5 linked regions of the Tribolium castaneum genome follow. Each later gene encodes a partner of the first gene's protein in a complex. Links are inferred from orthologs where the notes say so. Each region holds a gene or a part of one and is shown in the gene's direction. Other genes may lie near its edges. The genes, in order: Smu1, beag, zinc finger matrin-type protein 2, Prp38 and Mfap1.

Evidence for each region.
Region 2: Smu1 (region 1) and beag share a complex: the UniProt entries of both Homo sapiens proteins name them as parts of the spliceosome B complex. The link is inferred for Tribolium castaneum from reciprocal best matches to the Homo sapiens genes SMU1 and IK.
Region 3: Smu1 (region 1) and zinc finger matrin-type protein 2 share a complex: the UniProt entries of both Homo sapiens proteins name them as parts of the spliceosome B complex. The link is inferred for Tribolium castaneum from reciprocal best matches to the Homo sapiens genes SMU1 and ZMAT2.
Region 4: Smu1 (region 1) and Prp38 share a complex: the UniProt entries of both Homo sapiens proteins name them as parts of the spliceosome B complex. The link is inferred for Tribolium castaneum from reciprocal best matches to the Homo sapiens genes SMU1 and PRPF38A.
Region 5: Smu1 (region 1) and Mfap1 share a complex: the UniProt entries of both Homo sapiens proteins name them as parts of the spliceosome B complex. The link is inferred for Tribolium castaneum from reciprocal best matches to the Homo sapiens genes SMU1 and MFAP1.

What each region holds. Positions count from the first base shown.
Region 1 is NC_087397.1:5,006,833-5,013,485, reverse strand, and holds Smu1 (WD40 repeat-containing protein SMU1), read left to right. Parts: upstream 1-2,314; 5' UTR 2,315-2,467; coding exon 2,468-2,493; intron 2,494-2,544; coding exon 2,545-2,755; intron 2,756-2,803; coding exon 2,804-2,918; intron 2,919-2,962; coding exon 2,963-3,381; intron 3,382-3,638; coding exon 3,639-3,862; intron 3,863-3,907; coding exon 3,908-4,009; intron 4,010-4,053; coding exon 4,054-4,237; intron 4,238-4,284; coding exon 4,285-4,437; intron 4,438-4,492; coding exon 4,493-4,591; 3' UTR 4,592-4,643; downstream 4,644-6,653. Other genes in the region: tau (microtubule-associated protein 2), read left to right, coding at 1,126-1,305; zinc finger protein OZF, read left to right, coding at 4,920-5,027, 5,073-5,379, 5,428-5,610, 5,656-5,834, 5,887-6,229, 6,273-6,401, 6,449-6,633. UniProt on the Homo sapiens protein: Involved in pre-mRNA splicing as a component of the spliceosome. Regulates alternative splicing of the HSPG2 pre-mRNA. Required for normal accumulation of IK.
Region 2 is NC_087401.1:16,337,361-16,344,053, reverse strand, and holds the start of beag (protein Red), read left to right. Parts: upstream 1-3,107; 5' UTR 3,108-3,405; coding exon 3,406-4,111; intron 4,112-5,879; coding exon 5,880-6,619; 3' UTR 6,620-6,693. Other genes in the region: macrophage migration inhibitory factor homolog, read left to right, coding at 588-695, 745-917, 965-1,046; macrophage migration inhibitory factor homolog, read left to right, coding at 1,486-1,593, 1,641-1,813, 1,858-1,936; chromobox protein homolog 3, read right to left, coding at 2,166-2,693. UniProt on the Homo sapiens protein: Involved in pre-mRNA splicing as a component of the spliceosome. Auxiliary spliceosomal protein that regulates selection of alternative splice sites in a small set of target pre-mRNA species. Required for normal mitotic cell cycle progression.
Region 3 is NC_087395.1:20,715,642-20,720,745, forward strand, and holds zinc finger matrin-type protein 2, read left to right. Parts: upstream 1-2,722; 5' UTR 2,723-2,839; coding exon 2,840-3,439; 3' UTR 3,440-3,488; coding exon of another isoform or gene 3,489-3,554; 3' UTR 3,555-3,596; downstream 3,597-5,104. Other genes in the region: uncharacterized protein LOC656218, read right to left, coding at 3,489-3,554, 3,602-3,794, 4,844-4,949, 5,006-5,104. UniProt on the Homo sapiens protein: Involved in pre-mRNA splicing as a component of the spliceosome.
Region 4 is NC_087396.1:19,987,275-19,992,580, reverse strand, and holds Prp38 (pre-mRNA-splicing factor 38), read left to right. Parts: upstream 1-2,745; 5' UTR 2,746-2,911; coding exon 2,912-3,379; intron 3,380-3,425; coding exon 3,426-3,821; 3' UTR 3,822-3,874; downstream 3,875-5,306. Other genes in the region: CycT (cyclin-T), read left to right, coding at 1-633; vacuolar fusion protein MON1 homolog, read right to left, coding at 3,957-4,670, 4,716-4,959, 5,006-5,203, 5,250-5,306. UniProt on the Homo sapiens protein: Involved in pre-mRNA splicing as a component of the spliceosome.
Region 5 is NC_087397.1:4,121,590-4,128,031, forward strand, and holds Mfap1 (microfibrillar-associated protein 1), read left to right. Parts: upstream 1-2,209; 5' UTR 2,210-2,328; coding exon 2,329-2,398; intron 2,399-2,505; coding exon 2,506-3,767; 3' UTR 3,768-4,235; downstream 4,236-6,442. Other genes in the region: Dcr-2 (Dicer-2), read right to left, coding at 4,236-4,386, 4,433-6,442. UniProt on the Homo sapiens protein: Involved in pre-mRNA splicing as a component of the spliceosome.

The sequences.
Region 1 (6,653 bases):
TATTAGCTTTTGTGATGACGATTAATAACTGCATGGATTTTCACAATGTCCTTTTGAAACTGTAGTTGTACTTTTCGTACGTAAACACAGTTGGGGCTTTTTATGATAGTTGATTTCGTTGATTTGCTAGCTTTAGATTTATTAACATTGACGATTTTGTGTAGAACTCCTTGCCGTCCCAACCGGAAGCCGGAGGTCCAGTAGCTGATGAAAATCTCAACCAAGAACGTTAATTTGTTATTTTTTAATTAATGTGCCGTCTCTAAACCTATATTAGACCAGTTGATACTTGGATATAGTTCTTTAACTACCGATAAACATGTGGTTGGAATACATTTGAGAAGTAACATTAACTTACTGATACAGCATGAGGCCCGTGTTCGAAATGCATGTATTACTTGGAGAATAATAAATTGTATATTCATAGAGTATATTTAGATTCCACTAACACTAACACTGTATTTTCCACTAAAATGCTGAGGTTCTAGTGTCACTTTGCTTAATTTTCCTTTCATTTCGAGTAAAATAAGCAAATGCTGTTCGTTTCAAGAATATATTTTTCAATGTAAAGTAATATTAATGTACGATAAAATAGTTTGGTGTTGTGATACCTAGAATAATGACCAAACGATCAACATTTTTGTACTGTTTATTAAGGTTGAAACAAAATTATTTCCTCTAGTTTTAATTTACATTTGTAGTTGATAGCGTTAAAATTGTGGTTATTCGTTGTAAAAAGCTTATCAAAACGTTTTATCCTTTAAGCGAGAAATCTTTCATTTTGAAGCGTTTTGATACGTTTCAGTTATGCTGTTTCCAGTAAAAATATTTTATTTTGTTTTGCAAAATAGATGGTATTGAGTATATCATCACTGTATTAACTTTATAAGAAGCATTAATAAAATGTGCATTAGTATATAGTAGCAGCTTTTATTTTCACCAATTTTTGCACCAACAATCACACACGCTGCCCAAAACACTGAACACAAGCCGAAATGCCTTAGGTAAGTTTTGAATTTTTTATTTTTTACAGTCTAGCCTTCTCAAACGAAATTGAATATTTTATTACTCCTGAAAATGTCACTGCTTTTAAACATAAGCCTGAAGATAAATTCGTATTTTTAGAAAATTGTATCCAAATCAGCTCGTGAGAGATATTTTGATCCAAGTGAAGAAAAAGCAAGAATTTTGGAAACTGTGAAAGAAGAGGTTGCTCGAAAGAATCGTCCTACTTCAGCATTTTGCAGGAGTGGGTCACTGAAAGTTAAGAAAAGTGCAACACCTCGACCACCGTGGAGATTTTAAATCGCTTAACGATTTTTTTTATTTTTTTAAATTTCTTTATTAAATGTGCTGCTTTATTTAATTCAATATCCGATCTAAAAATTCATTAGGCAACGCATTTTTGTACTATAATTGAATTGTATTGTCCAACAATCATGCAGAATTTTACATAATCTAATATTTGTTGTCAGTTTTTAAGTAAATGGTTGTTGGACTATAATATTGTACCAGTATTAGTTGTAGAAAATTATTTAGGAAAATTAGGAAAATTACAAAAATTAGTTCATTAACTGCAGTAGTCAGGAAATATAGTGAGCGGCAAAAGCGGAAAACAGAACGTCAAATAAAAAAAAGACGTTAAAAAAAACTGAATTTTTGAGAATTCTTTTGCTGGTCATAAATCTTGTACTGATCATAGTATCAATATTAAGAAAAAGAAATAACCAAATACTATGTAAAATTATATCATTAGAACAAAATTTTCACTTTTATACAATGATATTATTAATCCACAGTTTTCACAATACCACGTACAAAAAAAAAAAAATAGTTGTGTATATATTAAATACATTTAGATATTCTGTTTAAGCAAGTATGTAATGGTAAAATTATTATTGCTTATGTACTTATATTTTTTAGAAACATATGTGGATTACCATAATTATTTGTTTAGTGATTATTTTTTTAGTTTAATATTTCAACTAATATTAAAAAGTTGATTGTCCCATATTGTTTATGGAAATAGAATTGTCTTAGTTAACGTTAAATAAAAATTATCTTGCACATATTTTCTCTGATACTGACCAAACTCCCACCAAAAACAACCCCTATTTGTGGGAATTGGGATTAGAAAAAACAAAAGTTGGTCTGCAGTAAATAATTTTCGAGAAAAACTCGTTTAAATAAACCGTTAAATAAGTAGGGCTAGTGGTGAGGTGACCGCCCTAACAATATATTAGGCAAAAATAAAAAATAAAACTGAAGTTGTTTCAAAAAATTTTTGATTTGGCGACATCTAGCGATTTTGTGTTGTAGTGGAGACATTAATGTCAAAAACGTAAGTTGGAGTTGTCAAAAAAATAGGATCATTTTATTTGCAATTTAGCACTTTTTTGTCATTTGAAACGTGATTATTAGCACAAGAATAATAACGTAAAGCCTCTGAAGCCACAACTCCTAAAATATGTCTATAGAAATCGAATCTGCGGAGTAAGTACGACATAACCAAACAAACAGTGTTATGTTTTTATTTACTTGCAGCGTAATCCGCCTAATTCAGCAATATTTAAAAGAATCTAACTTATTAAGAACTCTTCACACACTACAGGAGGAAACTGGTGTAACATTAAACACTGTAGATAGTGTTGATGGGTTTTGTGCCGACATAAACAACGGGCATTGGGACACTGTTTTGAAAGCGATACAGTCCCTTAAACTCCCTGATAAAAAATTAATCGACTTGTACGAACAGGTAGACGCCAAATTATTCAACTAGTTCGCGAAACTACAAATTTCTTAGATTGTTTTAGAATTAATTGAACTCAGAGAGTTAGGAGCAGCCAGATCCCTACTCAGACAAACAGACCCCATGATAATGATGAAGCAAAACGAGCCCGAGCGTTACATTCACCTAGGTACTCAACAAAAGTAAACACTTCAAAAATAACTTTTTTTACAGAAAATTTACTCGCTCGTTCATACTTTGACCCCCGTGAAGCTTATCCAGACGGAGGCAGCAAAGAAAAACGCCGTGCTGCTATTGCTCACGCCCTTTCAGGGGAAGTATCAGTTGTACCATCGTCACGTCTTTTGGCCTTACTTGGCCAGGCGCTAAAATGGCAACAGCACCAAGGCTTGTTGCCTCCTGGTACCACAATTGACTTGTTTAGGGGCAAAGCTGCCATCAGAGACCAGGAAGACGAACAATTCCCAACTCAAATGGCCAAACAAATCAAGTTTGGGCAAAAGTCGCACGTGGAGTGCGCTCGCTTTTCACCAGATGGACAATATCTGGTCACAGGGAGCATTGATGGGATTATTGAGGTGTGGAATTTCACCACCGGGAAAATTCGCAAGGACTTGAAATATCAAGCCCAGGTAACAGTTAATTCTAATCTTTAAAAACTATTTTCAAAATTCTTTTATAATTTTGTTTATATTTTTTGTAGATTATTCTTAAATATTGTTTCTATATACTTCTGTACATTTTTTTAAGATTTTCGTGATTCTTTCCTAAGCCATAAAGACTGAAATCTAACTTTATAAATTCTTCTTTAGATAAAAATATTCTTCTCAAATAGAAAAAATTAATTAACATCAAAATATAATTTTTTTTTCGATTACATTTCGTTTAGGAGAGCTTTATGATGATGGAACATGCAGTATTATGTATGGCGTTTTCGCGAGACAGCGAAATGTTGGTAACTGGGTCACAGACCGGAAGAATCAAAGTTTGGAGGATTAGCACGGGCCAGTGTTTGCGAAAAATCGAAAAAGCTCACTCGAAAGGTATCACCTGTTTACAGTTTTCTAGAGACAACAGTCAGGTTCTAAGCGCTTCGTTTGATCACACTATTAGGTAATAATTTAAAATCTAGTGGCGCCAATTTTACGGTAATTATAGATTACATGGCCTAAAATCTGGGAAAATATTGAAGGAGTTTCGTGGGCACACTTCGTTCGTAAATGAAGTTATTTTCACTCAGGATGGTCATAACGTTTTGAGGTATTTTTTAAACTTGTGTCTTCTTTTAAAACATTTTTATTTAGTGCTTCTTCTGACGGAACCGTTAAAGTGTGGAGCATCCGAGCTGCGGAATGCATCAATACTTTCAAATCTTTAGGCGCGGGCGATATCACGGTGAATAATATTCACAACTTTGCAAAAAATCCCGAACATTTTGTTGTCTGTAATCGCACGAATACTGTAGTTATTATGAATCTTCAAGGACAGGTAAATTGTGATGTTACCAAAAACATAAAAAATTCATTTATTGATAGATTGTGAGGTCATTCGCAAGTGGTAAACGTGAAGGTGGTGATTTTGTATGTTCAACAGTGTCACCAAGAGGTGACTGGATTTATTGCGTCGGGGAAGATCTAGTCTTGTATTGCTTTTCCACAAATTCTGGTAAACTCGAGAGAACTTTAAATGTAGGTTTTTCACCAATGGTTTAATACAATTGTGGTTTACTAATTTTTGTTCCAGATTCATGAAAAAGACGTTATTGGTATAGCACACCATCCACATCAGAATTTACTCTGTACATATAGCGAGGACGGACTCGTGCGTTTGTGGAAACCGTAATTATTGTAATTTTGTAACGTTTGTAATCCTAAGAAATAAAGCGTAAATTCAATTCAGTTTTTTATTTTCACACCCAACTGAAGTCACCACATGTGACGCCACCTCACGGCGTCTCTGTAAAAAAGTAAAACTTCTAAAAAAATCGATAAAATATAACAAAGCAATAAATTATTATTTAAAGGACAAAGAAATTTCGAAATCTGGGATAAACTTAAATAAAATCACTACAAAATATAAAATAAAAAGAAAAATACCGATCTGTCAGTGTCACTGTCACTTAATATAACCTCAGTTTTCAAGGGAACACATTTTTTCAAATATTTTAAAAATGAAATTGGATAAAATTTGTCGCACGTGTTTGCTCGAAAAGGCCAGTCTGAAGCCGTTATTCGGAGCTTGTGTGGCCAATATGTTAATGTCGTGTGCCTCAATTCAGGTATTTCATTCACTTTTTTACTTTATTTAAACATGTGTCCTGAAGGTAATTGAGGGCGACGGTCTCCCCTGCCAAATTTGCACGCAGTGCTTGCAAATGGTAAACAGGGCTTACAGTTTTAAACAGCAATGCGAGAAATCCGACGCTTCTTTGCGACAATACATAAACAGTGTCGGTCTGCAAACTGTGTCTTTGCAAGCAGAGCCCAATATAATGATCGGTGATATGAAAGCTGACCAGTTATTCGGCAGCAGCGAGGTTTTACAACAGTCTTCTATTTTCCAAGATATTTTTAACGATGCTACGTCGCATTCCCTGGTTGATAACTTTACGAATCAGAATGATAGCACAGGTATCGAACTGTGCAAACATAGTTGGCAGTTTTAATCAACAGTTTTAGTGGTGTCTGACTTGGCCGAGACCATGCAAAGTCTCCAGACTATCGCAGAGCAGTGTTTGCCAGAAACGTGGGAAACTGATACCCAAATAATGTCCTGTCAGAGCAACTCGCAAGAAACGAACTGCAGTACTTTTGATTTATCGAATTTGTATCGGTGCCAATTTTGCGAGGATATTTTCAAAGGTGTTAGTTTCACCCACTTCTCATTTTATTCATTCTGGTTTGTAGATGAGTGGACTCTCGGCGAGCACATTAAAATCCACACAGGTCAGAACAAATATTTCTGCTCCATTTGTGGAAAAGGGTGCACGACCCCTGCCTTCTTAGAAAAACATATAATGGAGCACTCGCTCGATAAAAATAATACAGAAGAAAAAAAATTATGTAACAGTAACTACATGTGCAATGTAAGAGCGCCAGATATTTAAATAATTCAAATGTTAATTTGTCATTTGTTAGATCTGCGATCGGACGTTTAGTGACCACAAATTCCTCAAAAAACATTTGAAAGAAATTCATTTTACGACGCTTGATGACGATTTGGCCGACGTTGAGCGCAAACACGTCTGCACAATTTGCAACAAAAGTTACAAACAGAACAAGCTCTTAGTCATGCATATGCGGTCACACACGGGCGAACGGCCCCTAAACTGCGAGGTTTGCGGGCGAACTTTCGCTCTGCCCAGCTCCTTATACAAACACCGAAACATCCACTGCACTGAGAAAAAATACGGGTGCAACATTTGCGGGAAAAAATTCAACCAATCGTCGAACCTTACGGCGCATTTGCGGACCCACACTGGTAACACCTGACCCAAATCCGCCTTTTTTAATTGTTTTGATAGGGGAAAAACCTTATATTTGCAATCTGTGCGGGAAAGCTTGCGCGTCCAGCGTCAACCGTGACATCCACATGCGGACCCACACGGGGGAAAAACCCTACAAGTGTGCTCGTTGCAGCTGCGCTTTTGCAAGTAATTTCTAAGTCAAGTCGAGACAGTGCCACAATTTAACGTTCCAGCTAGCACTCAGCTGAAAAAGCACAATTTGAAGCATACGGGGGAAAGACCGTACCATTGTTGGCAGTGCGGCAAGTCTTTCAGACAGAAAGAAACCAGGGACACGCACGTGCGCTACCACACGGGGGAACGCCCCTACGCCTGCACCTTGTGCCCGAAAAAATACATCGCGGCGAGTCATTTGAGGGTAATTTTTGCACGTTTGTT
Region 2 (6,693 bases), on another chromosome or scaffold:
CTATTGAGAATTTAATGTTCTATATGCCTGCATTTTTTTCCTTGCTATGTGTTAACCGTTACACAAGTACAAGATTTTTTTCAAAAAGATGCTCTCTTGTGACATTAACGAAACTATCAAAGACGGGAACGTTTCATTTGTACGTCGGTTCGCATCCTAACCTTTAGATATCCGTAGTTAGAACAAATAAACGATCACATATCTCATGTTTTTCAATGATTTCAACCATTATACAACACACTCATCAATAATAATAACCATACGGTTTGCTATTGTTTTTATGCGAAAAACTACGACCCTATTTTTAAACTCGTAGCCATGAAGACATCAATATTTGATATTTGCTTAACAATTAATTGCTAATTAAAACCGTGTGATAAAAAAATGAATTTACCGCGTTTTTATTCAACACAACATGGCGGCCCGAACTAATTCAAAAAACGCTTGATTTTTAGCATTTTTTTACAAAAGGCCTTGAACATTACTTTGAATTTTGAATGGAATATTCACATTCCTGAACCCAAGGGTCACAACTTAAATTATAAAAGCGCAACATTAAAACCCCAACAAACAGTCATTTCTACAAAATGCCACACTTTCGTGTCGAGACAAATGTGCCCCAGAGCAAAATCCCGGCCGATTTGCCGCAAAGATTGTGCCAAATCGTCGCCAATTCCTTGTCGAAACAGCTCAGTGTAGGTACAAGTTCAAGATTTTCCGAATATTCTTACATTTATTTTTTAGTATTGTTGTGTCACTGTAATTGGGGACGTGAATATGTGCTGGGGGGGCACTAGTGAGCCCGCCGCTCAAGCCACCTTGATGAGCATTGGCTCCTTGGGCATAGAACCGAACAAAAAACATGCCAAAATTTTGTACGAAATTCTGTGCAAAGAGTTGGGAATTGCAAAGGACAGGTTGTGGTTTTAGGGATTTTTTTGAGTTTTTTTTTTTTTGGTTTTAGGATGTATATTCACTTTAACAGTGCACCGCCCAGTGAAGTGGGCTATAATGGGACCACCTTTCATGACATTTTTGGAAAGTGATTGTTGATTACCCAAATGGTCTTGTTTGTTTCTTACAAATAAAAAATATTGGTATTTTGTTTACAACGTTTTTTACCCATATACAGACTGTCCCAATATTAAAAAAACACAAAAGTGAGATTTTTTCAAATGGAACACCTTAATTATTGGACGTAGCTTTTAATAATAAGGAAAAAAAAGGTAAAAATATAGTAAAATTGCGAATTTGCCGCCATTTCAAACACTACAACATGGCTGCCCGTAATTTGAAAAAATCCAATTTTAAAATTGCATTTTTAGGCCCTTGTGCCCCTATTTTGAATTCCAAACTCAAAAATTCAAATTTCCTCAACAATACACTTTTTGTATAAATTCCCGCCCCCCCCTGGGAGGTCACCCAGAGGTCAATTCTGACGTCCATTTCTAGGTTATAAAAACACCGCCAATTTTTTTCCGCAAAATGCCTCACTTTCGCGTTGAGACAAACGTGCCCCAGAGCAAAATCCCGTCCGATTTGCCTCAGAAATTGTGCCAAGTTGTTTCAAATTCCTTATCAAAGCCACTCAATGTAAGTTTGAGGTTACGTCAACTTTGAATAACTCAATTTTTTTCAAGTATTGTGTGGCTACTGTGATCGGAGACGTCCACATGTCTTGGGGGGGCACCAGTGAGCCCGCCGCTCAAGCCACTCTGATGAGCATTGGCGCCTTGGGCGTGGAACCAAACAAAAAGCACGCCAAGGCTTTGTACGAAGTTGTGTGCAAGGAATTGGGGGTTTCGAAGGACCGGTAATTGGGTCTTTGGTGTGGTTTTGTACTTTTTGTGTTTCTAGGATGTATATTCACTTCGTGAACGCGCCGACTAGCGATGTGGGGTACAATGGGACCACTTTTCATGATATTTTCGGGTGATAAGTGATAACGAAGCAATGGTGTTTTGTTTTATTTCAAATAAAAAAAATTATTACAATTTTCTATTGATTAAGTCAAGAAACTAAACTTACAGCTAGGGAGTCAGATTCAAATAATAATAATACGGGAAGATTCTAAACGCCTACTTAGTCCAAATGATTTTTTCGTCTAATAATAGTATATAATTCGTGTTGAATATGTACATTATGAATATCCTTACAACTAGCCTTCACTCGGCTTTATTTTCGTCATTTGTGGGCGAATGCCAAGTGAGACGCTCTTCATAGAACCTAATGACAACTTGGGGGCACTTAATATTCGCCTGTTTCGCGGGCACTAAGTCCGCCTCATCTGTACCCTCCCACTTCATGAGGAACATCAACTGCCCGGAACTATCCGTGGCCCCGATTATTTTTTCGGGCTCTAGCCCCCTATCAAACCCGTGCACTTTCTTCTCGTCGTTCTTCCTCTTGGCCCCCTTCATGTCGGGCGTCGGCGTGCTGTTCATCTTGCGCTTCTTGCTGCGCTCCTTGTCTTTGTTGGCCCTTTCGGCCTCGAAAGCCGCAATCAGCCCGGGACAGTCCAGGTTCTCCTCGGGCTCCCATGTGTTGTCCTTGTCGTCGTAACCGATCCATTTCAAGTAGTATTCCTTAATACCGGCCGCATTTATCCGACTGTCGATTATTTTCTCCACAACGTACTCTTCGTTGGCCTCTTGGTCTGCGGGGGAAGGACTCGTCCTCTTGCTTTTGCTCATTGTGCCCTGATGGAGAAAACACACTGTACACACCGGGGGGCGCACGGGGCACACTTACGCCGAATTTTACTCAACTTTGGAGGGATTTCGTGCAAGAAATTAAAATAACTTCAAAAGCCGCAAAACAGACGCTTTGCTCACAATTTTCAAACAAACATGGCGGAGGTGCGCTCCGCCGGTAACAAGCAGGTTCCTACACCCCTATTTACTAATTTAATGAATTAAAAGCCCCAAATAGTGATATTTCCGGTGAATTATTTATTATTCAAGCCGTTTGCGTTTATTCACCGTAACGTAAAGCCCCCCCAGTATGAAAAAAACGGTGGTTAGGCGCCCCAACTGAATCTGCACTTTTTGGTTTGAAACTTTGATAAATTTTGTTTGCAAAAAAAAATACGTGTAGGTTTGCAAAAATACTTAATTAAATAATTACTAAGTGTTAGTTGTGGGACAGGGTTGGAAAGTTGTTTTTTTTTTAATTTTTTCTACGTGTTATCGACAAGAATTTGCTGTTTTTCCTTGATTATTTTGGTTAATTATTCGCGATAGTAATTGTAGTAAATGCAAAAAGCTTGTTTTTAGCATTTTGGGGCTATTTGGTCTCATTTGAAGTGGTTCACTGTAATTTTTTTCTGGCTAGGAGGAAGCAAGGTTATGTGATTGACAGTTGACAGTTCTAGTTGCAACATTCAGGCCCAGTTTTTGGTTAAAAATGCCTTCGGACGCGGCCCCCGGGTCGCAGCGGCTGACCAACGACGACTTCCGCAAGTTGTTGATGACCCCGCGGTCGGCGCCCGCGAACGCGCCCGCCCCCGGCTCCATCCGGGAGGCGATGGCCAACTCGTCGACGATGCCGCCCCCCAAAGACGACAAGAACGAGGCGCGACGCAAGAAGAAGAGCTACTACGCCAAGTTGAAGAAGCAGGAGGACAATAAGATGGCAGAACTGGCGGAGAAGTACCGAGACAGGGCCAGTGAGCGCCGCCAGGGGGTGAACCCCGACTACCAGAGCGACGACCCGGTGGCCACGGCTCAGGCCTATCGTGCCGTGGCGCCTGATCTGAAGTCGGGGTTCGATGCGGCCGAGAGGCGCCGACAGATGATTCAAGAGAGCAAGTTCTTGGGGGGCGATATGGAGCATACGCATTTGGTGAAGGGGCTGGATTATGCCCTGTTGCAGAAGGTGAGGAGCGAGATACAGCACATCGAGCAGGAGCAGGAGCAGGAGTTGGAGAGGCTGGCGGCCAAGACGGAGGAGAAGGAGAAGAAGGAGGTGCAGAAGAAGGATGAGGATGAGCTTAAGTTTAAGACGAAGATTGGGAAGTCGATTTACCACACGATTTGTGCGCTGAAGAGTCGGCATATTGAACGGTCGGAGATTTTTGTGCCCGGACGCATGGCCTATGTGATTGATTTGGGTATAGATAAATTTTTTTCTTATCAATTTTTACACATAAACTACGTATTATAGATTATGTCTGAAATTTTCAGCTGTTCAAGCCTGTAATTCTTATAGACATCTTCTTAAGTTTCGTTTAAAACATTTTCAGATATACCTTTTTATTGTTTCTGTACTTTTTTTTAGATTCTTTTCAAAATCACAAAATTTTTGTGATTTTTTCTTAAAGAGGTCTTTAGATCTTAAATCAGCAAAATTTTCGTTTAGATTCTCCTCTCTTGCTTATAAGAATTCTTCTCTAGTTTCTTTTATAATATTTCTTATTTATTTTTTAGCATTGTTTTTGTATTTTCCTTTAGATTTTTTTAAAGATTTTTGTGATTCTTTCTTAAAGAGGTCTTTAGATTTTAAATCAGCAAAATTTTTCTTTAAATTCTCTTTTCTCGCTTATAAAAATTCTTCTCTAGTTTCTTTTATAATATTTCTTATTTATTTTTTAGCATTGTTTTTGTACTTACCTTTAGATTTTTTTTAAAGATTTTTGTGATTCTTTCCTAAAGAGGTCTTTAGATTTTAAATCAGCAAAATTTTCCTTTAAATTCTCTTCTCTCGCGTATAAACATTCTTCTCTAGTTTCTTTTATAATATTTTTTATTTATTTTTTAGCATTGTTTCGGTATTTTCCTTTAGGTTTTTTTAAAGATTTTTGTGATTTTTTCCTAAAGAAGTCTTTAGATTTTAAATCAGCAAAATTTTCCTTTAAATTCTCTTCTCTCGCGTATAAACATTCTTCTCTAGTTTCTTTTATAATATTTTTTATTTATTTTTTAGCATTGTTTTTGTACTTACCTTTAGATTTTTTTTAAAGATTTTTGTGATTCTTTCCTAAAGAGGTCTTTAGATTTTAAATCAGCAAAATTTTCCTTTAAATTCTCTTCTCTCGCGTATAAACATTCTTCTCTAGTTTCTTTTATAATATTTTTTATTTATTTTTTAGCATTGTTTCGGTATTTTCCTTTAGGTTTTTTTAAAGATTTTTGTGATTTTTTCCTAAAGAAGTCTTTAGATTTTAAATCAGCAAAATTTTCCTTTAAATTCTCTTTTCTCGCTTATAAAAATTCTTCTCTAGTTTCTTTTATAATATTTCTTATTTATTTTTTAGCATTGTTTTTGTACTTACCTTTAGATTTTTTTAAAAGATTTTTGTGATTCTTTCCTAAAGAGGTCTTTAGATTTTAAATCAGCAAAATTTTCCTTTAAATTCTCCTTTCTCGCTTATAAAAATTCTTCTCTAGTTTCTTTTATAATATTTCTTATTTATTTTTTAGCATTGTTTTTGTACTTACCTTTAGATTTTTTTAAAAGATTTTTGTGATTCTTTCCTAAAGAGGTCTTTAGATTTTAAATCAGCAAAATTTTCCTTTAGATTCTCTTCTCTCGCTTATAAAAATTCTTGTCTAGTTTCTTTTAGAATTCTTCTTGTTCATTTTTTAGCATTGTTTTTTTACTGTCTTTTAGATTTTTTTAAAGATTTTTATGATTATCTCCTAAAGACTTCTTTAGATCTTAAATCCGCAATTTTTTTTATATTCTCCTCTCTCGCTTATAAAAATTCTTCTCTAGTTTCTTTTAGAATTGCTCTTATTTATTTTCTAGCATTGTTTCTGTACTTCTTTTTGGATTTTTTAAAGGTTTTTGTGATTCTTTTTTAAAAATTTTTACATGAATTTTAATGTTAAAATTCCTATTAATTTAATACCAACATGACTATTAAAATTTTATTTCAGACGATGAGGCTGAATCAGACATTCCAACAACTTTAATCCGTTCAATCGCCGACGTTCCGTCATTTGAACTCACCACAACCCTCACAACCAACGACATTGTCATAAATAAATTAACCCAAATTTTAAGTTACTTGCGCCAAGGCAACCGAAAGAACAAAAAAACCAAACGGGGACTCCCCGAAAGTCGCGAAAACGAACAACCGGAAGAACCCGAACCGAAAAAAACAACAAAACGTACAACCGGTGATGACTCCATCTATGGAGATATTGGTGATTACGTACCCACAAGAAGTGGTAAACATGGAAACTCGTCACGTGACCATAACAAACACACGTACTTTGATAAACAAGAGGAAGCGCTTGAAAATAGCGGACCGACTTTCAAAGTCAGTAAATCGGCACAAATCCTTAATAAACTGGCTCAAGAGCCTGAGGGATATGCTGAGTGTTATCCCGGATTGGAGGAAATGAACGATGCGATTGATGATTCTGATGATGAGGTTGATTATTCTAAGATGGACTTGGGGAATAAAAAGGGGCCGATTGGACGCTGGGACTTTGACACAGCTGAGGAGTATTCCGATTATATGAACCAGAAGGAGGCTTTGCCGAAAGCAGCCTTCCAGTACGGCCTTAAAATGGCAGATGGGCGCAGGTCCAGGAAGCATAAGGATAAGAACGAAAAGGCGCATTTGGACAGGGAGTGGCAAAAAATCCAAAGCATTATCAAGAAGAAATAATTTTGTTGTGTATTTAGGAGATAAATAAGTTAATTTAAATAAAAAATATATATTGGAAATTTGATTTTCTACAA
Region 3 (5,104 bases), on another chromosome or scaffold:
TTAATTGGTCCATTCGCGTTGTTAGCTTTGAATAGCGTAATTAACTTTAATTGAGCTTTCTATAAGCCGGCCCTTATAATCAGAGCCAGAATTTGTGATCAAAATTTTTTGGTTTTGGTTGGAAGTACTGTCAGTCTAAATAAACAAGTTTCTGATATTTCGTCTCTTTTTTCACTTTAAGTATTTTTTAGTTTCAGTGTTTTATTCTTTTGGTTTTTAACAAAACAAAGTAATAAGAATTTAATATTGTCCCGTGACCAGACAAAAGAGTCTGCTACAAAATAGCCCCGACAAAATGGCTTACCGACAAAATAACCTAGCGACAAGACGCCTCATTAATAACCCATTAATAAAATTGTTGTTTTAAATGGTGTAAACAAATAAATTAAAAATTAAAAAATTAGACAAATATTTGTAGTTTTAGACTAGTTTTCTATTGCGCGCTCGCTCCAATTCAGCGAACCGTTTACTGAATACCTATCTTTTTGTACAGTTTTCTGCTGAATTCGAATCTAAAGTTACTTTTTTGATTTGGAATTGCTTTTATTATGAAAAACTTGTTTTTGAAGAGATTTTCGTTTTCATCGTCGTATCTTTATCCTTCGGGATAAAGATAGAAACTATTTTTTGCAAAAGATTCTCAATGAATGTACTTTTTAACATAAATAAACAATTTTTAGTTTTGAGAAAAGAAAACTGGGAAAATTTATAAAATTATTTTAATTTTGGTGGATGCGCCGGGTCAATTGCAATAACTTTGTTAGTGTTAAAGATATCAAAAGGATTTTTGGGCCAAAAACATATTTAATCAATTGGCATAATTTCATTTCGATTATGTATAAATAGGTCTATCTTTTAAGACAAAAAAAATTCTCGCATCTTGAAAATTTCACTACAAAAATATGAAACGTTACAAGAAAAATCCAATTTTCTTAGTTTTCTTTTGTCGAAACTAAAACTTGTGTTTTAGTTTGTGTAAGTAATCTTTTGCAAAAAAAATTTTTCTTGCTTTATGCAGAAGGAAGATATGACCATGTAAACACAAAATTTTACCAGTTTTAAGTTTTTCGAAAATGTTCACATAATAAAGGCAATTCCATGCAGAAAATCGAACTTCGGATTCGAAATCAGCAGAAAATTTTGCATAAGAATCAGTTTTAAAAAACGTATGTTCTCTAACCTACACGGACAAATAAATTATTAACTATTGCGCGCTACTGATGCTGACGTTGAGTACATAAAATATGTGACCGCAAATATGCGACATCACTTTTGCCCTACCTTTTATTTCGTTTAACTGAATAATGTAAGGTTTACTTAACTTTTGAAATTTTGAAAAATTATTTCGAACAAAATTTTTTTTTTAAATCGTTACATTTTTAAAGTAGTTAATGATGTACTAATTAGTATTTTTTGTAAGGTACATAGTTTACGCACAAAACGCTTGATTTAATACTTTTGCTCAACGCTGCATGTAATATTGTATCAAATAGATTTTGATTACAATCTTTATAGTTTCGCCATAATCGGCTTTTTAAAATTGATATTTTTTTTAATATCACCTTAATCACTAAATATCACCTTGTTCCACTAAAATTTTTTGCAACTTTGCATTTTGCATAAATTGCAAATTTTAAAGTTAATGTCTTCCACCAATCTTTGCATTTGTTTTGGCATATTTTTGTAAAAAGAAGTATTTTTGCTAAGTATATTTTTTGCTAAGTGTGCAAAATACTGTTGTTGGTGGAACATAAAGGTGTTCGGGAACGTGCAAGCGCAAAGTGTAAAAGTCGTTTGTGGAATAGAGCCCACATCAGAATTTTCTGATAATGTAATAATAATAATATTACTCAAAAGTTGGCAACAATCGTATAATTCTATGTTAGCAGTTACGGTTTTAAATATTGAAAGAATTTTATCATATAATAGAAAATACACCTTGAACTTTATTTTAAAAAATTGGTTTATAATGTTTCACAGCAATTAATACTTGACCACATTCAAAATATCAAATGGTAGCGTAATTAATTGTCTAGACTAAGAGCGCCGGTTTACAAAACATTTTAATTGCAATTAAATTTTAATCGCGGTTAACTCGACATTTGTCAATGTATTTAATGCTACTTAATTTGAATTAGTTTAATTTTGAATTAAATTCAATTTGATTTTTTGTAATTTAAATTAATTTAATTTATTTGTACTCGACTAGAATATTAATTTTTGCTTCGACCATAAAACTTGGAACACTCTGTATAATTAGTTGCGTAGGCTGCCATTTGAATATTGTGTTGCCTACCCAAAATAATAATTTGTTAAAAATTTAAATTTTTTGAGTTATCCACTTTTTCTTTGGTATTTATAACTTATAACTAACTCATAACGTAGTGGTAGTTTGAACAGCCACAGACTGAAAAATTGCAAACGAAAGATTCTGTGAATTAGATTTTAAAAATTAATAAAAAAATTGAAATAAATAACTAATTGTCTTGATTACGGGATTTTTTTGATCTTTTCCCATCTTAAATTTTTAAACAGGTAACCCAGCTAACTTCGTTAGATGTAATAGCAGAGTCGAATAACCAAAAAATTAAAAAATCTATTAAGTATTCTATGAGTTTAATGAATTCAATTGTAATAATCTAATGATATATATAAACATCCTGAATGGCGCAAATTCGCAATTTATTAGAAAATGAACCTTTATTCTTATGAAGTTAGCAACATAACCTAACCTTGAAAATTTGACAGCTGTCAATGTGTACTGCAGTTTGTCAACACTGTTATTGTACTTGAGTTTTTATTAATTGATTGTGATCCTGCTAAAGAAAAATCATCAGAAATGACTATGCGACCAGACGACCACCGCCGAAAATGGGACAGGGACGAATACGAGAGGTTAGCCGAGGAGCGCAAGAGGGAAGAAATCGAGCGCCTCGAAGAAGAAACCAAGAAAAAGAAAGGCCCCCCGGTGAAACGTGAAATGCTAAAAACCCGAGAGTATAAAGTAGACCTGGATTCAAAGCTTGGCAAAAGCATTGTAATAAACAAAAACACACCAACATCACAATCGGGGGGCTACTACTGCAACGTCTGCGACTGTGTTGTTAAAGATTCAATCAACTTTTTGGATCACATCAATGGCAAAAAGCATCAACGAAACTTGGGAATGTCGATGCGGATCGAACGCAGCAGTCTGGACGCAGTTAAACGAAGGTTTGACCAAAACAAGCGGAAAATGGAGGAGAAGAAAAAAGATTACGATATGGCAGCTCGCATGCAGGAAATTGCCGAAGAAGAGGAAAAGCTACGCGAATACAGGAGGGAGAAAAGGAAAGAGAAGCGAAAAGCTGAGGAAATGTTGGAAGAAACATCTGAACAAGCAAGTGAGCTTGCTAGCATTATGGGATTTGCAGGTTTTGGATCGTCTAAAAAAAAGTAGCAAAATGTCTTTCAATACCTTTATTACAATAATTTAGATTTGTTGAAGTTTAAATAAAAATCAATATTATGCTAACTAGTAAGTGAAGTACAGTTGGAAGAATCATTGTGTCAGCCTGTAAAAAATAATTGTAAATGAAATAAATGTGAAGGAACAAGTTGCCTTATTTTCTTTTTTCATATATTCCTCAGGCATTGGGTCCTTGACTTTGGGCGTCTCCTTCACATTGTCACAGCTTATTGTGAGAATACTGTCAATTATCGACTGTAGAAGTTCTTTAGTTGTTGCTGCAGCGCTGTTTCCACACACTTTCGCAGTTTTGATGTAATAACAGTCAGCTATGTCTTTGTAAGCCCTGAAAACAATTAAATATTTGATCAAAGAAGCCCATGATGTTAAATAAGTTTCGTAACACTCAAAGGTAACATGTAAGTACTATTAAATTCAAATGTTAATTATATTTTATTAAGTTGCCGTTGCACCAAACTTGATTGCATATTTTCAACTTTTTAGCTCCAAAACTTGTTGAAGGCTTGAAAAAAGTAAAAACAATATTTTTGGCTAATTTGGCGATTTTTTCAAAGTTCGTAACGAACTTTTCGATGTAATCGCGTTAAAACGCAGTGGCGTGTGGTGTGAAAATATCTTTATTTTTTGTAAAAATGAATTTTACTAAATTCCATATCGACCACTTACAAATAAACCAATGAAATGTCTTTGACTTGACGTCATGCTTTCATGTATGTCGTATCAGAAATGTTTTTCCCCGGATTGTTAAAAGAGTTTTTTGCTGGTTTAGTGCCAGAACAACAGAAATTGGAGTTTTATCGAAAGTGAATGTTCAGAAATGCTAGATAAGGTTCTTTTGAAAACTATAATAAGGTTAATGTTTGTAGTTATTATTTTAATTATAAGTTTGGTCATAGGTTTAGTTTAGTTTAGTTGCGTGTTAATTTTAACAGGTGACAGAGCTCTTTAAATTCATTTTTTTTCTATTTTAAATTTTTCAATGAAGGTTTTGCAAATTTACTTAAAATTTGTAAAATATTTCCACAGATTGCCTTAATCTTTGATATTACATACAGAAACGTGTACCCGCGCTTATGAGTACAAAAATAAAAGCGCCAAACTATTTTCGTTGTGATAGAAATCTACATACAATTTATATCAAATATGAAAACTTTTGCTCTGGATTTAAAAATAATACAAAATTAGTTATTAAACACTGACCGGCTTGTTACACAAAAAAGGAGGAAAAGAGGAAAATAATAAATAAGAATTTTTGACATATTTGTCTCAGTAAGTTAACGGTTCCACACAAAATTATACATCATGCTATTATGTATTTTAATTTATCATATTTTTTAGTTACTTTTAAACAGCGAATTTCATTTATGCACTTACTTGCAAACTGCGGCATTGTCTGAATTTTCGTTCCAATCTGCCGGTCCTCCACAGTCCTCCAAATCATTTCTGAGCTCATGAAGGCATTTGTGAATTTTCTCAAATTCTGTTAAATAATTAATTAATAAAAATAATTTCCCTGAATAATCCATTTTCACTTACGGCTCCTGAACGGAGATTCTGTACAAATCTTCTCATGCAACGCCTCAACTCCTTTGATCAATTGCATATACAAGTCAGGCTGATTCGGGGGAGTACAGG
Region 4 (5,306 bases), on another chromosome or scaffold:
CACAAAGAGAAGGTGGCCGAGCCGGCGGCCGAACCAATCAAAATCAAGATCCAGAAAGACAAGATCCAGCAAATGCCGAACCCTATCAAGATAAAAATCCCGAAAGACGTGATAAAGACTGAGGAGAATCCAGCGCCGGCGCCGCCACCAATCGGTCTCAAAATCAAGATCCCGCGCGAAATCATCAATAACTGCAATCCGGAAAGCGAGAAAAGCCGGAAACGGGAGCGGGATCGCAGTAGTCCGGCCGACGGCGGCCCCCCTGCAAAGCTCTCCCGCAGCAAGGACTCCAAACAGAACGGGAGACATTCGTATAATAAGGTAAGCGAATATAGTAAGAGTAGTGCGATGGGGGCGGTCGTTCCGCCCCCCGCCGCCCCCGCGTCCACCTATCACAGCGTGCCGCCGCCGATGTACACGCAAAACATGTACTATTATCCGCCGCATATGGGGGTGGGTCAGTATATGTATCCGGCCGAGAATCAGATGTACAATTATTATAATGGGGGATACGCGTTTCCGCCGCCGGAAATGTATCAGCAGGCGCCGCCGCTGCCGCCCCCGGCAGGGTCCAACCCGCCCCTGCCGATGGACGCGCCGCCGGACATACCGCCCCCACCGCCCCCGGAGTGATGTGTGCGATTTAGAGACACGATTTCGGACCTCGTGCTAGTTAAGATGACGTGATATATGAAGGGTTTAGAGAAATTTGTAAATAATTTATAAGAGTGCAATTTTTTTATCGATTTATACTTAGGATTGTACCGTGTTTTTGTTATTTTTCTGGTAGATATTACTTTGTTGAATTGTATCTATGTAGTTTATCTTGTAATTTTAAGCACTTTTTATAGTCTTAACACACTCTTTTATTTATTAATTCAATAAATAAGTCGACAATGAAGGAGATTCTTTTTTTGACGTGACTTGTGTAGTTTGTGCATGTGTTTTCATTTTCTGTTTGTTTTTGTGACGCTCATTGCATGGTCATGACTAACTCTGTCCACTACTAACGTGACCGGCTTACGTGTGAATGTTGGACCTAGCAAGGTCATTATATGGTTATTTGGTGCTTTGCAGGTGACACAACTGGGTGATGGCGATGCGTCCATACATAGGTTGGCCGAATCTAAGTATATCAACAAGAGTTCATCGTAGTAATTGCGACAAACGTTAACTATCATGTGTTAAAATCAGCCTAATGTATATAGTAGAAAACTTTTTTTAATTTAGAAAAAAATGTTTTAGATTTTTTATGTTTATATAATGTAATGGCTGATTGCAATACTGTTACTCTATTTTGTTAATTAAATTATTTTGTACGACCTCTCATTTTGTTATTAATAAATACTCAAAAGTGAAATTCGTTTAGTTTTATTTTATCACGGGTGGAAGCGGCTTTTCTGCGAGCGAAAATATTGCAGTCATGCCATTATTCCCCCCGATTTTTCTTGTTAGGAAGTTCGGCCTAAATCTTGTTATATTTAGATAGTGCCAACTGTCTTGTACAGCATTTTGGTCATTAGGTGATTCATGTAACCACATCTAAACATCATTCTCATGTGGAACAATAACATGCGTGTGACATTTTATGTTCAGTGTATTTCTTGTGCTTCTTTTGGTTTTGTTGCTTATGTCCGACTGATTAGAAACAAAATTCTAGCATAGTTGAGTGTAAAACTTTGTGATCCAATGGACTGAAATCTTAGGATGTGTTGGATTCGTCATGTATACAAAAATTTGCAAATATTTTAACGAATTTAATATTTTTAAGGGATAAATTGTAAATAGTTAAAATTTTATTTGATAAGTATTTATTATTTTGTTATTAATATACGATATATACGAAAACTGCAATTCTGGAAACTTGTACCTAAACAAAAATGAGAAAAACGAGTGTGTTAGGAGCATTATTTTATATTGTATTACAAACGTATATTATAAATAAAAAACTTAAATCATTGGAAATAAATATTCACGCCCACTTTTTAAGTTAGTTGGAATGTTTATCGGGCTTAAACAATCTAAAAAAATATAAAAACAAAAAATTCTTCGAAAAATAACTTATGTATATAGTCCACACGTTTGCTGCCTGTGTTTCACTGTTATTGTTATTGTATTCACTCATTCTGTTATTGTCTGTTTTCCACAATACAAACATTGCAAGACTTTCTACAGCAGTTGATTTTCAATTTTACTCCACTTCGAGGTGGTGAACGTGTTAAGTAATAAGTAAATAGACACTAAATTTATAATATACTTCTCAACAAACATAAAATAGACAAATAAAGCTAATGCCTAACTGTCTCAATGTCATCAATAAAGTTTTTAAAACGATCGCAAGTGTTTGAATCACCCAATCCCCCAAAAAGCAATTTTACATCTTTAACAATACCATCGATACGCTCATTTGGATGCGTTAATAATTTTCTACTTGCATAAATACTATTTATTAAATTATGAGCGTTTGTTCATGTTTAAATTAGAATGGTGTCTGGTGGTAATAACCAAAGTTACCAAAGGTTGGCACTTTTTGTGGGATTCCCACCCGCGAGTCACGCCTGGGGACTAGACGATATTAGCAAATAAGTTTTTATGAGAAATTCGGGAAACGTGAAACTTGTTTATTATTGAAGAACTAAATTGTTTCATACGTGTACTATTGTTTAATTTTGTAATGTATAACCTTAGCCTGTATTTCCTAATTGGATTATTCACACAGTATTATTTGTCTGTAATTTTTTTCACAATGCAAAGCAAAAAGTCTGATAAGAGCGAACCATTTTTAACCTCACTTTGTGTTTACTACAAGCGTCAACAATTTCTTAGAATTTATTGATAAACTGTGCATTTCTGTCGAATTCAGTTGTGCATAAGGTGCGTTAGTGAGTTTACAAATTAAATTAGGCCAATTATGGCAAATAGGACCGTAAAAGATGCCAAATCAATCCATGGCACAAATCCCCAGTATCTGGTTGAAAAGATCATCAGATCGCGAATTTATGACTCTAAATACTGGAAGGAGGAATGTTTTGCCCTCACTGCAGAGCTTTTAGTAGACAAGGCAATGGAATTACGATTTGTGGGTGGTGTTTATGGTGGCAATATAAAGCCAACACCATTTTTATGTTTGACACTAAAAATGCTACAAATTCAACCAGAGAAAGACATTGTAGTTGAATTCATCAAAAACGAGGAGTTTAAATACGTCAGAGCCCTCGGTGCTTTCTACATGAGACTCACAGGGTCGTCCTTAGACTGTTACAAATATCTTGAGCCTTTGTACAACGACAACAGGAAGTTGCGGCGACAAAATCGCCAAGCGCAGTTTGAAATTGTACACATGGACGAGTTTATTGACGAATTGTTACGAGAGGAACGAGTACGTGTTTTTTTTGTTACGGTAGATAGTAAAATTAATTTTTAAGGTTTGTGATGTTATTTTGCCACGCATTCAAAAACGCATTGTTTTGGAAGAAAGCAACGAACTCGAAGCCAAGATCTCGGCCCTTGAAGACGACTTGGACGAAGAGATTGAACTTGAGGAAGAAAACAAGTACGAGTTGGTTGAAGAAAAGCCCAAAGAGAAGAAAGAAAGGGAGAGGAAGCGGGAACGCAGCAGATCCAGAGAAAGGCATCGCAGTCGGAGTAAGGAACGCCACAAGAAGGAGAAGGACAAGGAGAGGGACCGCGACCGGGAGAAGGAGCGCGATAGGGAGAGAAGAGACAGGGAGAAGGAGCGCAAGGACCGGGAGAAAGACCGCGAAAAAGAGCGAGATCGTAAGGATAAAGACAGGAAACGGGAGCGAGACAGACACCACTGATTTTTCAATACATCGTTTTATACAATCAATAATTAAATACATCAACAAGTTTAGGATTGTGAATATCACAGATTAAGCCTATACCTTAGATTTCCACAAAATTTACATATTTATAATATATACAAATCAAATGGCTCAAAAAGTGGGCGCATTGAGATGAAACAACTTCTCCTCCCTTTTCTTAATCCAGTTCAGCAGCCGCCCCACTGAGTTAATCGCACTGTTTGTGTCAATCAAGGGCTCGAAAACTACATAAAGCTCAAAACCTCTCGTATCCCACGCCAAAATCGCCTCGTCTGAGTTTTTCTCAAATAACAACTTTAGCGGCCTCGTCGAGCAATGCAACAAGTTATGCGCCCGTTTGTACAACTTTGTTAGTCTCTCGTTATATTTGGTGTACGGTGGGGTCAAGCTTGGTTGGTAGAACTGTGCTGTACTTTTGCATTTGTACAAATAGTGCCTAAGTTCGGGGAAACCCGCAACAATGCAAGTTTCTTCTTTCGCACTCAGCGACTCATTGATTGCTTCTAAGCAGTTGCTGCGTCGCAGTTTTTCCACTATGCGTTGTTTCGCCTCACTTAGGGCAAAAAATACGTCCCTTTCCACCGTCAGGAGGAGCAAACACGCTTGACAGTCTTCAGCCAAGTAGGACACATGTCCGTATAAAAAACCACTAGCGTCAAACCGTGGAAGACATAACGGTGTCCAACTTTCAGCCGTTTTGAGGCTTTCGGAGGCTTGGACTAAGTTAAATATTAAATGGAGATCGGCCGGGTGAAGGCAATATTTTTTCATGCGGACTAGAGTGATAAGTTTATTGTTTGCGAGAAGTATTGCGAAAACTAGGTTCTGGAAACGATATTTTAAAAATGTTTTTTGAAACAATTTTTTTACTTTAATTTTGCTGCAAGCTCCGACAATGGCCGAGCTGATGTTGTCTCTCACTGAGGACGCAAGTGACAGACACTGGACTGCGCCCAAAGTGAACGAAGGCTCCTTCTCTGAGAAATCTAGCAAGTGGTCAATGAGTCTCTCAACACCTGCCAGAAGCCGTCTTAAGTCATAATTCTGGCGTTGCTCGTAAATTTTATTAAGTCTAGTCAAGGTTAAGACACTGGCTATTTGATTAAATACGTAGCTGCAATAAACAAAACTAGAAAAAATAACAAAGTGGGAACCCTCACTTTAGTTGTGAACACAGCTGATTTACACTTTCCTGCGTTCGAGAAACGGCGACTAAAATTAACGGTTTCTTAATTAAAAAGACAAACTTCGTGTCCCCGGCATGGATGCTCCTAATGGTGTCCTCATTTGACTGTACGAAGCTAACCAGTGTTTGCATAACACCGAACAACCAGGCTAGCTTATCCTCGTTTCCATATCTGAGACATAAGTTGTAAAGAAAAAAATTATGCAAACGATAACAACCTCGAATAGATGGGTTTCCCGGCCATGCTGAGGACAAAGACATGTTTGTTCTTACAA
Region 5 (6,442 bases), about 890 kb from region 1:
CTTATTTAATGAATTGGTAAATATATAAAAGACATTCTTCGAGTGGTAAATGACCGCAATAACGAAACTATTCACTTATAATTTGTTCTAATTAGGAATGGGAAGTCAAAACATAATATATTCATTGTTTGCTACCGAATTTTTACACCCATTCACACGTACTGGAACCCGGTTGGCCATGAAATTAAAGTCCAAACCTGGACTGAATTAGACTGTCAACATGTCAAGTAAATAATTTCACCTAAAATGTACATATTTTATTATTAAGCGAAGTAACACACCTAATTATTTTTTTATACTTCGAAGAGCCATGAAATATTTAAATAGAGATAAGCGTTTGAAAATTTCTTAGAATTTCTTTTCTTCCTGCTTCTTTTTTTGGTGACATTATTATGATTGTAGTCTTCTTAAGTTACAATGATAAGGTACTGTGTTAAATAACAAAACATTGACAACAACAACTGCATTTATTACTTATTTATTTGTCTAAGATAAATGCAGTTTTATTGCAATATTATCGAATCTGTGCTAATTTCGTTATGGAAAACGATAATTTTAAAAGAATTAGTAAGATTCATTTGTGCTTTTCAGGGTAATTTACTAATTTAATTTGCGGATTTGTGGATTCGAAGAGAAAATGTTTAGAAACCTTACACACATCTGGTAAAATGCGATTCAATTATTTGTGAAATGTTAGTAAAACTACTTCACCTTCGAGTTTATGGGAAATGACGTCAACTGCGTTTTCACAATTTTTGCATAGCGGTGTCAGTTAACGAGTAATAAAACCCAGTTGATTCCCTGTAGTGTCCTCCTTGTTTTGTTTTTATAAATTGGCAAATAAATACAATTAATGACCCAGATATCGCTCAGCAAACACCAGCAGAAAACCTGATTCTGAGCGATCTCCGATAATACATTTAAATGAATTCCATCCGCGTCTCTAATAACCGGTAGACCTTTGACACGTCGTCTCCGGACCCGAAAAAATCGCCGGAAAACTCCGGGAAAGAAAAGGGGGGCATTCCGGGTGTCGTTGACCCATTCCCATCACATCCATCTCGACGTCATCGTCTGCAGGCCGAAAGATAAATAACACTTTGGTAGCCCCATAGACAGTGATTCTTGGTATACTTTGCATAATAGCATCGCAGCATGCCCTGCCTAAACGTCAGACTCCACACAGACTTCTTGATCGTGCTGACATACAAGAAACAAGAATTTGCCGCGCCTATTTTGCTGTTTTTATCCGCACTTGACAATAACAATCCCGGCATTGGCTTCAATTACGCAAATTATAGCCCATTTATTCGATTTTTCAGCGGTTTTTCAAATGGACACTCGCTTCAACTCGCTGCCATCGAGGCCAGCCAAGACCAGCCAACTCGAAAATGCTTTACCAAAACGGTAAACCAGACGCTGGTTACCGGTGGATGGTTTATAACCGAAAATACGGTTTCAAAGACGGTTCTTTCCATCACACTTACCACTTGGTACAAGTTGTGTTGCCGTTTGTAATCCAATTATTGTAACTCATAAAATGCACACAACACAGAAAATACACCCGCAACCACTCTATTTGTTCATAATGTTGGAATATTTTGGCACAATCGCGTAAAAATTATAATAACACAGCTTCGCCGCGTCTTCTTCCACGCTTGCGTTTCGTAGATTTAACTTGATTCAGCATCAACAGGTGGTATTGCCAACCCAACGGCAACAGCTAATTTGCATTTCGGTTTCTTACGTTGGTGGCCCTCGACTTTTTTTACCCACAGGTTTAAACAATCCAAATAACTTTCGAATGAAACGTATAAACAAAAAAAAACGTTTACTCTTTATTACCAATTTAAACAATAAAAGTCACAATTTTTTGTAATTTGTTTGATAAAAGGAACACATTTTCTACACGTATCATTTAGAAAGAAACACGATATAGTTTTAACATATAAAAACCAATAGATAATACAATATAATAAAATTCTAAGTTGCAAAATCCATAGATTCTGTATTAATTATTGCGATTATTATAAAAAATATATTGGTTTGATTATTATACAACCAAAATTACACCTTATTTATTTATGTTTGCAATCAAGTCTCTGCGCTGAGTTTAAATCAGTTACGAACAAAATTTTTTTTTGGTTCATTTATCAAAAAAATTCTCGAACCGGTTGATTTTATTTTTATAATTCATTGATTATTTTTCAATTCTATGCTTGTCACTTGTCAACCTGTGTTGTCAACTGTCAAATGTAAAGTTGTGGCACAAAAACAATTTTCGTTTATTTTAGAATTAAAAACGACTTTCAATAGTCGATTTTCACAATGATGAACCCCCAGCCCTATTATGGCATCCAGAGTACTGCGGGTGCGGTTCCCGTTCGCAACGAAAAAGGTAAAATATCTTTCTTACCTATGACGGCTATAACCTCATTGTCAAAAATTAATAAAAAAATTGTAACAAATAAAAATGCCTTCTGAGCCGTTTCCGCCTATTTCCAGGCGAAATTTCGATGCAAAAGGTGAAGGTGCACCGCTACGTGTCTGGAAAGAAGCCCGATTATGCCCAAGACGCGCGTTCGAGCAGCGACAGCGACGACGACGATTTCCTGGAGCGTCGCAATCAGCCCCAACAGCCCCCAACGCCGGAGCCTTCACGCAGCGATGACGAACTGAATGACCCCCGTTTGCGTCGTCTGAAAATCGCAGAAGTTGAAACTGAAGTGAGGCCAGAACGCCGCCGTCACGTTGTGGAGCCAGAAGTGTTGGAATCGTCTGATGAAGAATCCGAAAAGGAACAAATTAATTTACCCGAACATAAACACACACTGGAGGCGGCTCCTGACGATGATGAGTCCGAAGTGGAGCTTAGCGATAGCGAAATCGAGAAACGCAGAGAAATGATGAAAAAACGCATGATGGAAAAGCAGGAAGAGGAGTTTATGGTGAAAGAAGAAGAAAAGTCGGAGTCGTCGGAAGAATCGTCAGAGTATGAAGAGTACACAGATTCGGAGGAGGAGACTGGCCCCAGATTAAAACCGATTTTTGTAAGAAAGAAAGACAGGATCACGATCATAGAAAAAGAAAAGGAGGTACAGAAGCAGAAGCAGCAAGAATTGGAAGCTGTGAGAAATGCGGAAGAAAGGCGGCGACAAACGCTACGTCTTGTTGAGGAAACAATCAGGAAGGAACAGCAACAGAAAGATAAAGAAAATAACGAACCCAACCTTAACGACGTTTGCACAGACGATGAAAACGACGAAATTGAATACGAAGCTTGGAAACTAAGGGAGTTGAAGCGAATCAAAAGAGATCGCGAAGAACGCGAAGCTATTGAAAAAGAGCGACTTGAAGTCGAACGATTGAGGAACATGACGGAAGAAGAGAGAAGGCTTGAGCTGAGACTAAACCCCAAACAAGTCACAAACAAAGCCATCAAGGGGAAGTACAAATTCTTGCAGAAATATTACCACCGTGGTGCGTTCTATCTTGATAAGGAGGACGAGGTTTTCAAGAGAGATTTCGCACAAGCAACTCTGGAAGATCACTTCGATAAAACTATTTTGCCGAAAGTTATGCAAGTCAAAAATTTCGGACGGTCTGGACGAACGAAGTACACACATTTGGTGGATCAAGACACAACTCATTTCGATTCACCTTGGTCAAGTGAAACCTCGCAAAATCTCAAATTTCACTCGACACAAGCAGGGGGCGTCAAGCAAGTCTTTGAAAAACCCTCGTTGAAAAAAAGGAAAACGCAGTAGTAAGGTGTAATAACCACTAGACTTAGATGCAAAAAATATATATTTTTATTCATCAATTAAAGAACAATGTAATAGGGAAATCACACTTTCATACAAGCTTCAAGCAATATACAAAGTAAATTAACATCATCATAAAGTATAGACTAAAGTTCGCAACAGTTTTTAAATTAAACAGTTTTATGTTAACCAGTCAGTTTTAAAATGCGGTTGAGTGGTTAACTTGAAACAGTTTTAATTTGAAAACGAATTATTTTTGGAACCACCTAATGACAAATTAAAGGTTGGCTGTAATTTAAAAATTCTCCTACTTAATTATCAGCGTGAGTTAAATTCACCATTTTTGTGATAGGTATCAAAGCGAATGAATTTAACTGACGGTATATAGTTGAACAATGGAAAACAGCATTTTTCAAACAATCCTAGCGAGTAACTGAATCAATATAAGCGCATTGTGACTTCGTGCGTTAATTACAACTTTAAAGCACGAAGAGCAATTTTGGCAGCGGCCCTTTTAGCCAAGATTTTGTTCGTTCCAAACCCATGAACTCGTTTCTTTCTACCTTCACACATAAAGTCTAAAGAAACCATAGTCTTTTGATTACCAACTTCCAACGCTTTACTGTGAAAGAAAAAATAAATCAAGGCTCAAACGCAACACAACTTACCTAAATTGCGGAGGGTAAACAGTATGGCACTCGTACAATCTCCTGATGACATTTTTTGGCACATTCTTGCTAAAAAGATCAATTTCGCGCCAGATAATCTTGTAAAACACCCTCCAAACAGTCTTCAAATCCTTATTGCTATCTAGATAAATTGCGCCAGCAAGGGCTTCGAAAATATCACCCAAAACTTTAGGCACATCGACGTACTCGGCGATATTCATCTCATCCTCCTCCAACAAAATCAGAACTTCATCGTCGATCACGTAATTTTTTGAAGCAAGGTAATCGGCAAACTTGTCAATATGACCTTGCAAATTCGAATTCATCATGAGCAAAAACTTGTGAAACCCGCATCGGACAACAAGGCTTGCGAACGTGTTATTGTTGACAAGGGATGACCGCAAATCGGTCACTTGACCCGGCTCCAAATGCCCACAATGTTCGAAAATATAACACGTGATGAGGAAATCAAGCACAGCATCACCAAGAAACTCCAACCGTTCGTAGCTCAGTGTTATGCGATTCGGCGAATAGGAAGAATGAGTTAAAGCTTGGAGTAAAAACGCCCGGTTGGTAAACGTATAACCGAGACGTTGCTCGATTTCGCGCCACTGTGGCATGTGGAAATCGACATCAGTTTTCGTGGATTTTTTATTGAGGACGGGGTCGACTTGAGTGGTTTCGATCAGGCGTTGGATTTGTTCAGAAAGGGGCAAAATGCCGATCCATTCCATGAATTTGATCCCGCCTTGAATCCCGCCACTTAGAAAGTAGGCGCCTAGGAGGGCCTCAACAGAGTCCGCTATGCTCTTATCACCAACGTATTGTTTGTTCAAAAAGTTGCACATATTGCCGTACGAATTTTCCTCATCCGGGGCAATTTCTTCCGTTGTCATATCGCTCAAAGTCTTTCGGTTCAAGTTACCTGAAACTTGCTCCTCCGGCGAAATGCAACAGTTAAATAACGAGACTACTGAATACTCTTTATTGCCGATTGCTTTGCTGATTGTTTGTGGGATGCAAAAGCACGGAGGGACCCAATCGCTCGGGGACAAGTCGCTGTTTTTCAAAATACCGCCCAGATTTTTCCTCACTCCCAAGTAGTACAAATTCTTGTTGCTGACCAGCTTCCCTTTGAGAGTGGTCGATTTGCCCTCGTTGTAGGTCGGAAATTTGAAAATAATGTACAAGGAAGCTACGAATTTTAAGAAAGAGTCGCCGAGGGTTTCAAGCCGTTCGAGGTTGACGATATCGTTGGCTTCAGCTGCCGTCAAGGCTTGATAAATCTGGCACAAGTTCGGGCTCTGATTGTCGAATTGTACGTCCAGAATTTGCAATTGTTTCGCTTCAAATTGGCAATCGTACGTAATAGCGGGCACATTCTGTTGCTTAACCGGGCTGTCATTCTTCAACAAACGCCCGGTTTTGGAAGGCTGATGCGAAATAAAAGTCTCGTAATACTCTATATCCATAACAGTCACGTTAATATTGCGCTCTATGTCTTTGGGTTCTTCAATAGTCTTCCAGTAGTACTCCGCTTCCAGCATTTTCGCCGCAAAATCTTTATTGTATTGAATCGTTCGCAAATTTTTCGGGCACTCCAACGCAAGGCAATTGTCAATCAAAGGAGTGGACTTGTCTGATTCTTGCGTTAGTTGCGGGTCATTGGGCTCATAATGCAATAAGTGGAGGTTTAACTCCAGCGGCGGACAGTCTTTCAAATATTCGGCTTTGGCCCCAATACCACGAGCTATGTCAACTTGGAGTTGTTGCAGTTTTAGAAGGTAAGCCAAGCGGGATAAAATGCTTGGCAAAAATCGCGCTTGTATCCACAAACACGACGGAAATTCTTGCTTGATCACCAGCTCTGGTATTAGATATTCTTCCAATTCTTCATACATCTTTTCCTTCTTTCTCTTGCCACCGGCACCTCTCGGTTTGAAAGCGTTCAACCGTTCGGAAAGCCCTTTAACCAAGAGCAGCGGTTGCGAAGGGTCCAATATCGACAAA